Linked DNA regions of Xenopus tropicalis. The protein of the gene in region 1 binds, or shares a complex with, the protein of each later gene. Links are inferred from orthologs where the notes say so. Each region holds a gene or a part of one and is shown in the gene's direction. Other genes may lie near its edges.

Region 1 (4,614 bases):
ATGGGCATTTTTCATTGGGTGCAAAAATTATTTAGTCTACATATTTGCATTTATAAATGTTGCTATGTCTTGTTGCATTATCAGTAGACCACAACATAAGCATTCTGTTTATGAGCATTAGGATCTCAATAGCTGTTTAGAGATTATCAACTGTTGTCATAGCTTTGATTTGTACATACAAATGCAAATTTATAGAGGATATGCACACTAAATTATACCCATATAATGAATTTATTGTTTTTAACAGAAATAATTGAAACTGTAACACTGCTTAGGATGATTTTGAAATGAGCACACATTGCATGAGTATCATTTTGCTGAGAATAATATGCATATTATTGTATTGTTTTTGTATGGTAAAAGCATAGTCTAATTTTCATACAGTTGTTTTTTTACACAGTACTTTGTCTGAGCTCTTTTTTCAGAATGGTACTTTTCCCAGGGCACTGAAGAACCATTTTTGTTACTTGATTTTAAAGTTTTAGGGTAATGACACACAGAGCTGCTTGCAACCAGCTACAGAATAGACAGTACTGATGATTTCCTCTACATGTGTTTTAGCAGAGACAATTCTCAATATTGTATCTGCTAAAACACATGTAGAGAAAATAAGTATTGTCTATTTTGTAGTAGGCTGGAAATAGCTCAGTGTGTCATAGCCCTTAGAGCAGGGATTTCCAACCTTTTTTACTTATCATCCATATCTTGGTGAGCCACACAAGCGTGAAAAAGGTTCCTTAAGGATGCTAAATAAGGGCCTGTGATTGGTTATTTGGTAGCCCATGTGAACTCCTAACCTGCACAAGGCTCTGCTTGGACAAAAACTGTGTCTATATGCTTCCAAAACTTGTCTTCAAGCCAGAAATGTAAAAATGGGCACCTACTTTGAGGCGACTGGGAGCAACATCAAAGGGGATGGTGAGTTACATGTTGCTCATGAGCCACTGGTTGGGGATCACTGCCTTGGGTGGCAGAGTTTGTTGCCACTTGTTTTGATGAACCCTAATCCCTTTAAGGTGCTGCAATTGTCAGTATATCCCATTGAGTGGTCCAGATTGGGCCTGGTAACAGTTAAAGGAACAGTAACACCAAAAACTGAAAGTGTTTTAGGGATGCACCAAATCCACTATTTTGGGATTCAGCTGAACCCCGAATCAGCACATGCAAATAAAGGCACAGAAGTAAAAAGATCTGTGAGTAGTGAAAAATGTTCACCTTCCTTGTCTATGTGATAAAGTCACACGATTTTAAGGATTCAGATTCAGTTTGTCCAGGACCATTCTGGATTTGGAGCATCCCTATTTTTAAAGTGATTAAAATATAATTGACTGTTGCCCTGTACTGGTAAAAGTTTTGTGTTTGCTTTAGCAACATTACTATAGTTATATATATAAGTTGCTGTGTAGCCATGGGGGCAGCCATTCAAGCTAAAAGAAAGGAGAAAAGGCACAGGTTACATAGCAGATAACAGATAAAATACCCATGTATTCTACTGGTCTGTTATCTGCTATGTAACCTGTGCCTTTTCTCCTTTCTTTTAGCTTGAATGGCTGCCCCCAGGGCTACACAGCAGCATTGTTTTATTTATAGGATTCCTGAAGCAAACACACCAATTTACCAGTGCAGAGTAAACAGTACATTATGTTTTAATTACTTTGAAAGGAACAATAACACCAGATACAGTGTTTTAAAATAATTAAAATATAATGTACTGTTGCTTTGCTTTTACTGATCTATTTGCTTCAGGAAAACTACTAGTTTAGAAGGAATTAAGGGCCGCCTTCTGGGATCATAGGATTCACAGTGCACACTATCAAGCCAAGGCACACATACATGCTAGGCCACATCGGCCAATTAATGGACAGAGTTCTGCTTTTGCTTCCATGCTACTTCCTGTTACAGTTAGAGCTGCATTATTTCCTGTCAGGTGATCTCTGAGGGAGCACACAGCCCATCACTAAATGGTGTGTATATATATATATATATATATATAAAATAGATGTGTAGAAAGCACTCACAGCATATAAAAGTAAAACAAAAATGTATTTGTTTATTAGCTCATCGCATCTACGCGTTTCGATCCTAATAGGATCGTCATCAGGATCCTATTAGGATCGAAACGCGTAGATGCGATGAGCTAATAAACAAATACATTTTTGTTTTACTTTTATATGCTGTGAGTGCTTTCTACACATCTATTGTTTACTTTTTGGTTAGCACCCGGCTAGTGCTCTTGAAACGGTGAGTGCCGATTTTTTTTTGATTATATATATATATGGATCGTTTTCATTAAAGAAATTTTTTGTTTTCTAAAAAAGTCCCTGCGTGTGCGGCTCATTGTCTTGCTATATATATATATATATATATATATATGTGTGTGTGTAAAAAGGTCCCAAAAGGGACCGAAACGTCGGTTGTACATGCAATTTTAATACACGAGAGATTTTTTGAAACACAAAGACCCTTGGTGCTGGCTGTTTTATTTTGATATATATATGTGTATATATATATATATATATATATATATATTCCAGTTTGCCGAGATTCTTTAATAGGTCACTTAACATAAACTATCTGTTAGTTAGGTATTCATTCTGGGGGTATAGTTTTCCTTTAAATAATTTTCATGGTGGTCATTCTTATGAAATTTCAGAAAAGAAGACTGGTCTTGTGTGTCCTTAATAGGTTACGTTTGAATTATTCTAAAATTCCTCAGTGGCAGCAATGTAAAGTCCAGTTGCAGCCAGGCAAGAATGTTAATAATGCCATCAAGGGGAAAAGGATGTCACAGTGACACCTTCACAACATGTAACATTCTAACACCCTGCCTACAAGTCATTGACTTGTATCCACATGATTACGCTTGACTAGAATACAGGTCTGTTTTACTGCAAGGGTGAACCACAAGGGGTCAGTGTTAGTACAGGTTCAAGTATAGCATTTTTAATTATTAAACACTAACACTGTGAGGAAGTGCTTCTTCCCGCTGTTTATTTTTCTCCCTTTCAGAGCTTTCATTAACTAAACGCAATTAACAAAATATTTTATTCTTGCAAAGCATGAGTCTAAATAAATAGTTGTAAAGCTCTATATCTGAGACAGATCTTTGTTTTACCTTCATGTTTAATTCATAAATAACTACCATTTTCAGTACAGCCGCATAATAGGGTTATAAACAACACATGCACAAGGTTGAGAAAACAGGGTGGCAGCAGAGGTCCTGCCGGTGATTTCAAATTAATTTTAAGGATGTCTACATATCACAATGCATATTAAAAACCATAATAATGTGTTCTGTGATGGGTGTGGCTGCTGAGACAAGTTTTTACTCTAAGGTTTGGTTGTATTTAATAACACAGCGCCACAGCTTTTAAAGACAGGTTTATACTCTTATGGATTGTTGAAACTTGTTAAAAAAAAAAAAATCCTTGTTATGCCTTAGTAGTCCCTTGTATCACTTTTAACTTGTTGCATCTCTATAGATGGAACGGCAACGCCTGGCACGGGAAAAACAACTGAGGGAAGAGGCGGAAAGAGCCCGGGATGAGCTGGAAAGAAGGCTGCTGCAGCTAAAAGAAGAGGCTCAGATGGCCAATGATGCATTGGTAAGACTTGTCTGTAGAGCCAGGTATTTCATGATTTATTAATAGTGTTACCCATACATATCTAAGCTTGAATGACTTTCTAACTAAACATGTGAGAAGTCATTGTGCTAATGGGGAATGAAAGCTGTTTGCAGCATCGTCAGGCTTCTGTTACTATTTGAGGTCTCTTGTATCTGGGATTGCTAATAAACAGCTCTGTATTGCTGTTCTCCCTAGATGCGGTCAGAGGAGACTGCTGACCTACTGGCAGAAAAAGCTCAGATCACAGAAGAGGAAGCCAAACTACTGGCCCAGAAAGCAGCAGAGGCTGAACAAGAAATGCAAAGAATCAAAGCCACAGCCATTCGCAATGAGGAAGAAAAGCGGTTAATGGAGCAAAAGGTCATGGAGACAGAAATGCTGGCAATAAAGATGGCAGAGGAATCAGAACGGAGGTAAAGTTTGCATTTGACACTGCCTTTTTTCATTCCTTGTAATAGTTATTCTTGTTTTACTTTTTTTTACCAAAGTAATCTTTAACCTGCGGGCTTCTGCTGCTATTAAGGGACTAACACCAGCATGTTGAGAGTTGTATTTTAGCAACAGCTAAGCATGTTGCAAGTTACAAATGGCAGCTTTTGTCCCCCAGTTTTGCTTGTTGATGCGGTCCCCGAACTGCCCACATGTTCCCCCGATGTCGCCCACCCATAGGTGGGGATATCGGGTAAAGATCCGCTTGCTTGGCAACCTCGCCAAGCGAGCGAATCTTCATGTGTATGGGCACCAGGTACAAATGTGCCCAATTTTGATAAATGAGCCCCTGTATGCTTCTTTTTGAACTAAGTTGTTTTAACTGCTTTCATTCTCTCGTGTTGTTTAGAGTTAAGGAAGCTGAGCAACTCAAGCAAGACTTGCAAGAGGCTCGGGATTCAGAACGTCGAGCTAAGCAAAAGCTTCTAGAGATATCTAGTAAAACCTCCTATATGGTGAGCTGTCTAAATAGCAGTAACCTTCCCGTTCATGTGATTTG
Region 2 (5,239 bases), on another chromosome or scaffold:
GAAAAAGTTGCGACAATTAGCCGAAAAATCGCAAAATACTGATCATTACGAAAAAACGCAATCGGACGCATTCGGCCAGTTCGTGAGTAAGTAAATGGGCCCCTATGTGAGTTTTAGCAGAGGCAATTCTCAGTATTGTCTGGCTTTTAGTAGCCAAGACAAGTATCTGCTAATAAGTAGCTCCGTGTCTTCACCCTTAATACTTGTACCGCTGCATGCTTAATGCTTCTGGAAGCATACTGCCAGCTTTCACATTTTCATCCCCTTGGACAGAAAGAACAACCAAACTGAGTTGATTATTCTCTGTTCACACATGAGAGATTATCTCAGCTGACCCACACATATGGAAGGTGCCTGCTTTATTGTGATACCTCAGAACAAATACCAGACTTTCCCAAAACTGAACGACTGGCCCATGCGTGTCAGCCTTCAGTCACCAAAAAGATTGCAACAGCTGCAGTGAAATGGAACTTCAGCAATGTCTTATCACAAGCATTACAGAGGCAATGTACACACAGTCTCAAGGTTAACAACTCCCTTATAGCCAAGCTGTAGCAGATATAGAGCATTTCGCCCATCAGGCAGCAAATAGTTAAACAACAAGAGTTTGTAGGATATCTTATCAACTAACTAACCTGCATTGTACAAGTGCACACAAGTGTAGGAACTACAATAGCCCATACAGTGGTGTCTGAAATTTTGCAAACCATTTTGCCCTAATACTAGATAATGAGAATCCCATTAAACAAATTAGTCAAAAACATAATGTGTGTTCATTTATCTCTTGAGAAAAAGGACCCTATGTTACATTTTGTGTAGGGCACAACTATGTGAACCTTTGTTTTTAATAAATGGTGTGCCCCCATTGGGCAGCAATGACTACCACTAAATATTTCCGAGAGCTGATGATCAGTCCTGCAAATCAGTTTTTGGGAATTTTAGCCCATTCCTGAAATCAGAACAACCTCAACTCAGGGATGTTGTCAGGCTTCCTCGCATAGACTGCCTGCTTCCGAATTTTCCACAACATTTCTACAGGATTAATATCAGGACTTTGACTTGGCTGTTCCAAAACATAAACTTTCTTCTGTTCATCCATTCTTTGGTGGACTTTGTTTTTAGGTTCAAATTTGCTGGTAGAATTCCTTTTTGCATAGCAGTGGTTTCTCCTTGCAACCCTGCCATGCACACCATTGTTTTGATAGTGGACCCATGAATATTGACATCGGCCAATGCCAGAGACTACTTTAGTTCATTATAGGCCATTTTTATTTCTTTAGATCTCCCAAAATGCTTGCTGTTGTTGTGACTTTTGTTTGCCACCATTTGTACATGACCTGCCTGACTGATGGAGTCCAAATTCTCTATAATTAGTTTTTCAACCTTTTCCAGCCTGAGCAATAACAAGTGATTTTTGGAGGTCCTCAGAAATCTTTTTTGTTTCAGCCATGATACATGTCTCTTGCATTGGCGGATTTGCAGGACTTCTACAAACTTTTGTTGCAAAGATCAGACTTGGATAGTGAGGAGCCGGATTTCCGTTATGTAATTAACGCCGGGCATCCCACGCTCAAACCTGATTATCATCCCATTGATTGAAACACCTGACTCTCATGCATTTGGCATTTGTAAGTGCATAAAAAATGTAAGTAACTAATTAATTGGGTGCAAGTTAGTTCCACGTGCAAGCAAACACGCCTGCAAGCACTATCTCCTCAAGGCAAGTGAGAGGTGGCAGAGGCTAGTACAAAGGGGTGTGTATTCAACAAAATACCTTTGTGGATTTCAATTTTGAGCTTTGACTTTATGTTTAGAAATGAGACCAGATTTTCACATACCTGTTAAATGGAAATAGTGAGCACATTAGGCATGAGATGGAAAGAGAACACACATAGACAAGACTAAATAGCCTCTTAGTGGGTTCTCTGACCAATGACCCCCTTGTAACAAAGTCTCTGACCAAGGAGCCTATGTAAGTTTACTACTCTGCACTGGGCCCCTCTGAAGGTTTTTGCAGGGGGGTTGGGGGCAGCACAGAGTAGTTACACCACTGCATGTGGTGCTCCAAAGGATTTTTATGGTCCCCAGGCTCCATAGACTTCACTTCACATAGACTCTACCAGATATAATTGGCCCACTACTTGTAATAAGACAGCACTGCCTTAGAGGGTCATATAATTAGTCCAAACAGTGTATAGAGTGATATTATAGCTGCTGGCAGGGGAGAGGGGGGGTTACTAAGCAAAGCCATATAGCAACCTGTTTTTTCAGAGGGCACTGAGACGCGTCATTACAATAACAAGATAGCCACAGGGAGCTATTATGATAGTTTACAGTCCATATGGATAGGTGTGACAGCATTGGGGTAGAAAGGGTTAATGTACTCAATTAAGGATGCTGGGGGTGGTAAAGAGATACTGACACCAAAAAATTAACCCCTTTTTACATCTATCATAGCATTGTCTGTATGTTAGTTATAATTTTAGCTTTCCAATTGGTCCTTATTTATTTTTTATACTTTTTAAATGATGTGCCTTCTTCTGACTCTTTCTAACTTTCAAATGGGGGTCACTGACCCCAGCAGTTACTTTTTATTACTTATTTTTCTGTTTAGGTCCATCTTCTATAAACATATTAGTCTCTGGTCAAACCACTCCTTGTGCTGCTCAGTAATTGAAACCCTAGCAGTGTCAGTATCACGTTAATAGATGGGCTGGCGCAAATGGGCTGTGAAGACGCTAAAGCTGAGGGTTGGAAGGGTTACAGAAGGCAGAATGGTGCTGTAGAGGTGAATGGTAGAAGGATAAAGCGCACAGCCATCAGGCGGCCTCTGTGGTAACTTTGAGAGCTCAGCACAGAACAAGTTAATCGCGCCACAGGCCGGAGAGAGGGAAAGCGAAGGATTCCCGGGGCCACGCCCCCTCACACACCGGCCAATCCCCGCTTCTCCACGTCGATGACGCAGGCAGGGGCTCCCACGTGACCGCAATGGAATGCAAACAATGCGGCGGGCGCCCAAGTCCAACCCGCTACATTCTATCGGCGGCGGCGGCGGGGACGGGCGGAGAGCGGAACCGTCTGTTGGCTTGCACCGAGCGGAACTCCGGTAAACTGACTAGTGCTAGAGCTGCGGGTGTTGGGGGGAGGGCGCTGGGGTCCGGGGGAACAAGCTAATGACACGTATTGTCCGTGCGCGTCCGACCCCGAATGTTCCCTCAGGAGCAGTGACAGCATGGCCCTAGCCCCCGCCAAGGCTCCCTACCACTTCCCTACCCTATGCCCTGTGCTTTGCAACTTTTCCATTGGGCTTCATAGTGAATTGTTATAGTTCTGACACTATTTACCCCTCTGCCTCCATGTGCTTGGGTTAGTTAGTTAGGGGTCTCAGACCCTAGCAACCACAAATATCTGTTGCTCTGTGAGGCTACACCGTTATTGGTACTTATATCTCTGTTTGAAGCCGGCCATCCAAGTTCAGATTTTAGCCTTCTTCTGATGAACGTTTAGATATCGATCGTATGTTTAAATGCAACGAACTAATGTTAGGGCTGAAATTGTAAGTTAAAGCCCTAAAAATATCAAATCAGAGGAATTTCTGAACATGAAATAGTTGTCAGACACCAATGGTAGGAAAGTGACCCCCCCCCAAGCGCGCCGTCACATACACCCCAAGCGCGCCGTCACATACACCCCAAGCGCGCCGTCACATACACCCCAAGCGCGCCGTCACATACACCCCAAGCGCGCCGTCACATACACCCCAAGCGCGCCGTCACATACACCCCAAGCGCGCCGTCACATACACCCCAAGCGCGCCGTCACATACACCCCAAGCGCGCCGTCACATACACCCCAAGCGCGCCGTCACATACACCCCAAGCGCGCCGTCACATACTCCCCAAGCGCGCCGTCACATACACCCCAAGCACTAACATTTTCTAACCTGTCCAATCGACTAAACGACTGATCACCTCGGTATTATTGGGATCATTTGGAGCCCACATACAGTCCAAAAATCAAACTACATTTACGCTTATATCACTGCATTATGGGCAGCTTTAGCCTTTCCTCTTCCACTCTGTCATTCACACCACTGCCTGGTTGCTAAGGCAAATTGGAGCCTAGCAACCAGATAGCTTCTAAAAATTCAAATCTGGAAAGCTGCTGAAGAAAAAGGTAAATAGCAAAAAAAAAAGGACCAATTGCAAATTATCTCTGCATATCACCATCTATGTTAGTGATGCCCAACCAGTGGTATTGCTCACCATCTCCTTTGTTGTTCCCAGTCTCCAGTGCCCATTTTAAAATCTCTGGCTTGGAGACAAGTTTTGGAAGCACAGTCACAGTTTTTTCCCAAGCAGAACCCCCTATCTCTGCATTACAATATGTATTCTTGCACCATGTTGTGCCACACAAGTTTTTTTGTTTGTGCAGCCTCAAAGGGCAAGGTCCTTTAAATAGTGAGAAGGATAGCTGCATGGCAGGGCTGCTGCTTTTTTTTCCAGGTTGAACATAAAGACAATCCCATGATTACCAGGAAATACATTCCTACATGGCTATAACCTTTTCAGTCCTAAAGTTGTTTTTCTGCTCACATATAGTTTATCCCCTCAAACTAACCTGCCAATAAACAGAAATGAATCTGTCTGTAATTGCTGCCCTATGCAATGGGACTGTACAACAGGGAACAGGCATGTATGGCAAAGTATTGGATTAATATGGAGTTACATAGAACTGTGATTGGAGTAAAGGCCTTAGCAGTTTGCTGTTATTGGATACTGGGCAATTCAGCTAAATGTTTTCAGACCACAGGAACCTATCTACAGAGGTCTAATTGTGGCTATTGTCAATTTTCCCACAGTCCCTTCCCAGAGGCTATTATCCCCCCACTGCTACTATAGGCACCATCTCTCCCTACTATACCTGCTATCCCACAGCCCCAGTCCCTTCCCAGAGGCTATTATCCCCCCACTGCTACTATAGGCACCATCTCTCCCTACTATACCTGCTATCCCACAGCCACAGTCCCTTCCCAGAGTCTATTATCCCCCCACTGCTACTATAGGCACCATCTCTCCCTACTATACCTGCTATCCCACAGCCCCAGTCCCTTCCCAGAGGCAATTATCCCCCCACTGCTACTATAGGCACCATCTCTCCCTACTATACCTGCTATCCCACAGCCACAGTCCCTTCCCAGAGGCTATTATCGCCCCCCCTGCTACTATAGGCACCATCT
Region 3 (5,311 bases), on another chromosome or scaffold:
CACAGGCTCCATTTGACCCCTCTACGTCTACATCATATGGGAATCCGCAATTCGTCCCATTGCCATAAATGTGGTGCCCCCGAGGCCAACTACTTTCACTTAATGTGGTCATGCCCACAAATACACCACTTTTGGAATCAGATCCTAGCCCACATCCAAAACACAACATCCCTACCTAAAATACTCAATCCCAAGGTTTGCCTATTCGGCATTTTGCATGACATTACTCCCAAATCAGCATTGCGCATCCTCTGTAGAACATTACTGTTTTATGCCAGGAAAAGTATCCTATTTCAATGGATGGCACACTCTCCCCCGACAATTGCCAGCTGGCTCAATTTACTTAAAGCCCTTCTTCCACTGATACAACTCACCTATATAGCAAGGGGATGCCCCCAAAAGTATGACAAGGTATGGGGAACATGGGTTGAAGCCATGGAATAATGCCACAGGATCCTCCCTGGGAATCTGAACCTCCGCTGGTAATCCCAAATCCTCCCCTTCTTTAACAGAAGTTGAACATTACCTCGAGTAGGATATCACTGATTATTTAAACCAATGTACTGTATATATCCTGACCAAAAACACGCTTGTAGAACCAGTGTCAATGTTTCATGTTGTTATATGTTATAAATGCATAAATAAAAAAAAAAAAATATATATATATATGGGGATAATATAATAACCTCTCAAATACTTTATTTTCCAGTAGGTCCTTTCAACGGACACAGGGACACCGACCCGGTTTAGAATACGGGAGGTCCTGTTTAAATATTCAGAAAGGAATTTTTACTGTGAGAGCTGTGAAGTTGTGGAACTCCCTCCCAGTCATACTGATACAACTGATAAGGGGCTGGATGGCATTTTAGCAAGTGAGGGAATACAGGGTTATGGGAGATAGCTCTTAGTACAAGTTGATCCAGGGACTGGTCCGATTCCCATCTTGGAGTCAGGAAGGAATTTTCTTTCACCCTCTGTGGCAAATTAGAGAGGCATCAGGGGTTTATGGATTTTTTTGCCTTCCTCTGGACCAACTAAAAGTTAGGCAGGTTATATATAGGCATTAAGGTCAAACTTGCCCCCCACCTTCTCTTAAGTCACTGATTGGCTACCAACTTTTAACAGGTTAGAGAGATGCAAAGAAGGAAGTAGTGTTCTGGCTAGACATCTGCTCACCCCAGTATTTAAAGATTATATTTTTGGCTAAGTATATTGAAAACATTTTTTTTTATTTTGCGCAACCTATCTACCCAGTTTTTTCACTGAACAATTCCTTTAAAAGTAGTGGTAGTAATCTGATATAATTTTAAACAGTAACCATATCTGTTCTGTGTATTTAGTTGAAAACCTCCTTTCCCAAACCTCTAGTTGAAACAGTTATCTAAGAAGATTTATCCACCCAGCCTGCAAGACTATTTTCGGAACCCCCAGATGACCTAGACCCTAAGCAGAAACCAAATACGTAAAAATGAAGTTTGGACACAGTACAAGTAGGAAGAAAAAAGTATAGGGAAGAAAAAAGTATAGGGAAGTAAAAGTGACTTACTTTCAAATAACGACCAACGACACCTACAAAAGGCGTTCAAGGCACCAAAACAAACAGATTTGGCTGCTCCGTACAGTACTTCAAACCACTTCCTAGTGAAGAAATGCACATTTGTGGCGTCAGCATCACGTGACTCCGACGTGACTGTTCCGTGATGAAGTCAAAACGCTCTTGCGTGTAGGCGGGCAGCCGGCAGTTGACAGTGGGAGGAACCGGAGGTTGTGAAGGGGGAAAAGTTACATCCGGGAATCTACAAGTCATATAAGCCCAAAGCTCAAAATGGCTGAGGTTTTGGGATGATTTGTGAAGTAACTGGTAAGTAACCCTTTATTTGTGAGGAGTAATTTAGTTGCTCAAAAAATTAAAAGTGCATGTGAACCTGGGTGGTGGTATGTACGAATTGTTTGTTTAGGAGGGGACTGTGCCGTGAAAAACGAGTAGTTTTTCTGCAGAAGTAAGAAACAAAAGTTGTGATCGAGTGTTGTTCGATGTTCGTAATACTGTACCGTTTTCGTGTTCTTGATCGATTAATTTAGACATGGAATGACTATTCGTTAGAAAGTGAACCCAGTTCTAGTTAAGAACAAAGAAGTCTGCAAAGTAAGATCAGAACGCTTGGATAGAATGTCTAGGTGCACCACCAGCGCTATCTCCAAACTCGGATAATACAGTAGTTCTGTGAAAAAAAGGTTTCACAAGATATAGATAGTGCACACAGAAGTTTTCTTTTTCCAGAAAATGAAATGGTGGTAATTTGCTTTTACATAGACAGTTATGCATTTTTCTAGGTGTGGAATAGTGTGGCCAGGTTATGATTATTTGCAATAAATGTTGGGGGCCATATGATTGATATGTGTTCACAATTATTCAAATTATATTTCACACAGGTGTTCTTATTTGTAGGATTTTATGTATTTCTATTAGTAGACATTCTTAAGGTAAAAATATTTATCAACCCAAGACCTCAATGAATCAGTTCAGCCACTATCCAGAATTTTGTTAATTATGATTGCTTTCTTTGCCTTACTAAGCAAAACTTGTTTAAATGCTGTAAGTTTTGCCCTGGTGGAAAATACTTCATTAACACACCAAACTTCTTTTCTCTAACTAGTGACATGAGTGACATCCGCCTGTCACTGCAAACACTGGAAAGAAATGATGCACGAAAATATGTACCTAAGTTAAATACACCCTGTGTGCACAATGACCGGTGGATGCATTGAGGCCAAAAATGTGCATTGCAGCATTTTAATAGTCACCTGTACTGTTTTAGAAAGTAGGCAGGTAATTTATCAGTTTTGTATATATTAGCAGTATTCGGACACAATGGGGTCACTTATCAAAACTGTGTAAATCAGGATGTGGGCTGCATCAATAAGCAGATGTGAATCTAACAATTTAGCCAGATATTGGTCGGTCAGGCCTGTTGGAAGGACCAAGTCAGCAGCTTTTATTGGCTTGTGTATGGCCAACCTTACTTTTGCTGTTATTGCTCCTAGTTGAAAAAGTCACCGTGGTTGCAGTGGGTTTCTGCCCTGGTGCAAATAGTTTTTTTTTGTTTTTTTGATAACTGAGCCCCACAGTCTTTTTTCCTCCAGGAGTCCACAGAAGCTAAAATATCCTTGTAATATTAACTTAGAGGAAGCTTGAATGGTGTACATGGAGCAATAAAACTTGGACCACCGTGTCTTGAAATACTCACATGAACGCTTCTTGTATGTTTCAGCCACAGCTTATTTTACTTGATTTAATCAGAATAATGACAGGCTGACGTGGGCATTTCAAGGCTGGACTGCAGCTGCAGTTAAAACCATAAACTGCAACATAAATTGGAGCCACCATGGGCAGTTTTGGCCTCTTCTCAATCCATTAAAATACACCAGCATGTTATTATTAGCCATAAGCTGGGTAGCATTAGCAGGATAGAAATCTGGAGCTCCTATCCGTTAAAACAGCAGATTTCTTCCGGACAGGTGTCTGGGAGAGTTGTATTCTTCTTGCCTGTCCTTTGTTCTGAGGGCAGGCTGAACAGATGAGGCTCTGTTCACATTAGCTGAGGGAGGCGGTTTTACTGACATCCCTTTGCAAGGCAGCAGTAAAGAGAGGCTGCAAATTTACCCTTATGTCTGTATTTTAAAGGGATACTGTCATGTGGAGAAGTGCTTTTTTCACAACACATCAGTTATTAGTGCTCTCCTGTTGATGTTACCGCCCAATGGCAGATGAGGGCATTTTGTTGCCCACATGAAATCATTCTCCTCACAGCAGCAAAGCAACCAGAAATACAACCGAATAACGTCCTCTGTAAATTGCCGCTTGTAAAAGGGACTTCTTACTTTGTTCAGCAAACATGCAGAACAGAACATTTTGGAGCAGTTAAAAAAATAAATAAATAAATTAAAAAAAGAGAGTTTTATCTGTGATGAGTTACATATGGTGCAGTTCAAATGTGTTTTTGGATGCTTTGTTACCCATGAAGTGTAAAGTTTTCTGACATCACCCAATCTGCAATTCCCCTAAAGGTGGCCATACACGGGCCAATTTCAGCTGCTGATATCGATCCTTTAGACCAATTCAACAGCTTATCTGCCTGTGTATGGGCACCAATGATGGTCCTCCTGGACCGACATTTGGCATGAAATCAGCCAGATCTCGAACTGGCAGGTTTGATTTTTCGGTCGGATCAGGGACCACATCAGCTCGTTGATGTGGTCCCCGAACAGACAGCGGCTATGCCCGCCGTTTTAATGCAAACGAATTAGCCCCATATATAGCCCTCCCGTAGGTGGGCATATCAGGAGAAGATCCACTCACTTGGTAACCTCGCCAAAGGAGTGGATCTTACAGTGTATGTCTACCTTAAGTGCTACATCACATGGGTAGGATGTGGGGGGTTATGCTGACACTGTGGTCAGGGAAAACCAGCAATGGTTAAAACAGCTACAGTATGTCTGCCTGTCACAGCTTCTGATAACATGAAATGTAATTTGACTAAGTATGGTTATTGGTGGAGTTCTACCTTTCACTGCTTCATGTTCATCACTCGAGGTGTTTCCATTTAAAATTATTGTGTGTTAATGGGGCATCTTGGCTTTTGCTGGCTTTTAGCATGTGTGGTTTAAGGCATTTCTCTGGCAAGTGAATATATGTTGTAAAGCCTAGTATTACAATAGGTTTAGCCTTTCTGTGTCAGCTTGTACAGTAAAGGCCATATTATATACACTTGTAAATAATGATATAGAGACTTCCAAGAACAATAACCCCACATGCAAAATACATTATACAGTGAGAGGCAGGAGTGTACTCACACATAAAATACATGGTTACCCCCTCTTACCCTTCCAAAAAGCAGGTTACGTGCCACATTAACTGCTGCCTTGCCCTCCACCACATCCTCCACTCATTACTGTCACTGCTCAAGGCGTTGCTCAGGACAAAATAGTATACCAGTTTATGTCAATCTTAAATTAACTTGCAATACAGTCAGATATACTTTACATTCTTTCATCCCTGTAACAGTAAAGGAAGTTAGCAAACTTCTGGTCTGCTCCTAACCCACAACCTGCACCCTTGACCCCATACCTTTTCACCTCCTTCACTCAATATCTGATCACTCAGCCCTGCACTTACCCACCTGCTTAACCATTCACTTTCTGCTGGTACTTTTCCATTTTCATACAAACAAGCACTAATCACACCCATTCTTGAAAAAGCTTTACTTGATCTCTGCTCACATACCTGCTATCATTCAGTCTCCTTCTGTTT

The links.
Region 2: the proteins of nf2 (region 1) and lats2 are in contact, whole or in part, in a crystal structure (PDB 4ZRI), measured with the Homo sapiens proteins. The link is inferred for Xenopus tropicalis from reciprocal best matches to the Homo sapiens genes NF2 and LATS2. Residues at the interface, in NP_000259.1 of Homo sapiens: Pro135, Glu136, Ala137, Val139, Leu140, Tyr144, Asn175, Leu176, Tyr177, Gln178, Met179, Trp184, Arg187, Trp191, Glu206, Lys209, Ile210; in NP_055387.2 of Homo sapiens: Tyr73, Ala76, Leu77, Glu79, Ile80, Arg81, Ser83, Leu84, Leu85, Phe87, Ala88, Asn89.
Region 3: the proteins of nf2 (region 1) and lats1 are in contact, whole or in part, in a crystal structure (PDB 7LWH), measured with the Homo sapiens proteins. The link is inferred for Xenopus tropicalis from reciprocal best matches to the Homo sapiens genes NF2 and LATS1. Residues at the interface, in NP_000259.1 of Homo sapiens: Pro135, Glu136, Ala137, Val139, Leu140, Tyr144, Asn175, Leu176, Tyr177, Gln178, Met179, Met183, Trp184, Arg187, Trp191, Glu206, Ile210, Asp213, Leu214, Glu215; in NP_004681.1 of Homo sapiens: Pro69, Lys70, Phe71, Gly72, His74, Ala77, Leu78, Glu80, Ile81, Arg82, Ser84, Leu85, Phe88, Ala89, Asn90.

Annotation. Positions count from the first base shown.
Region 1 is NC_030677.2:144,768,372-144,772,985, reverse strand, and holds part of nf2 (merlin), read left to right. Parts: intron 1-3,482; coding exon 3,483-3,605; intron 3,606-3,821; coding exon 3,822-4,039; intron 4,040-4,464; coding exon 4,465-4,570; intron 4,571-4,614. UniProt on the Homo sapiens protein: Probable regulator of the Hippo/SWH (Sav/Wts/Hpo) signaling pathway, a signaling pathway that plays a pivotal role in tumor suppression by restricting proliferation and promoting apoptosis.
Region 2 is NC_030678.2:157,780,390-157,785,628, forward strand, and holds the start of lats2 (serine/threonine-protein kinase LATS2), read left to right. Parts: upstream 1-1,686; 5' UTR 1,687-1,754; intron 1,755-2,785; exon of another isoform or gene 2,786-3,106; intron 3,107-5,239. UniProt on the Homo sapiens protein: Negative regulator of YAP1 in the Hippo signaling pathway that plays a pivotal role in organ size control and tumor suppression by restricting proliferation and promoting apoptosis.
Region 3 is NC_030681.2:58,191,336-58,196,646, forward strand, and holds the start of lats1 (serine/threonine-protein kinase LATS1), read left to right. Parts: upstream 1-1,758; 5' UTR 1,759-1,861; intron 1,862-5,311. UniProt on the Homo sapiens protein: Negative regulator of YAP1 in the Hippo signaling pathway that plays a pivotal role in organ size control and tumor suppression by restricting proliferation and promoting apoptosis.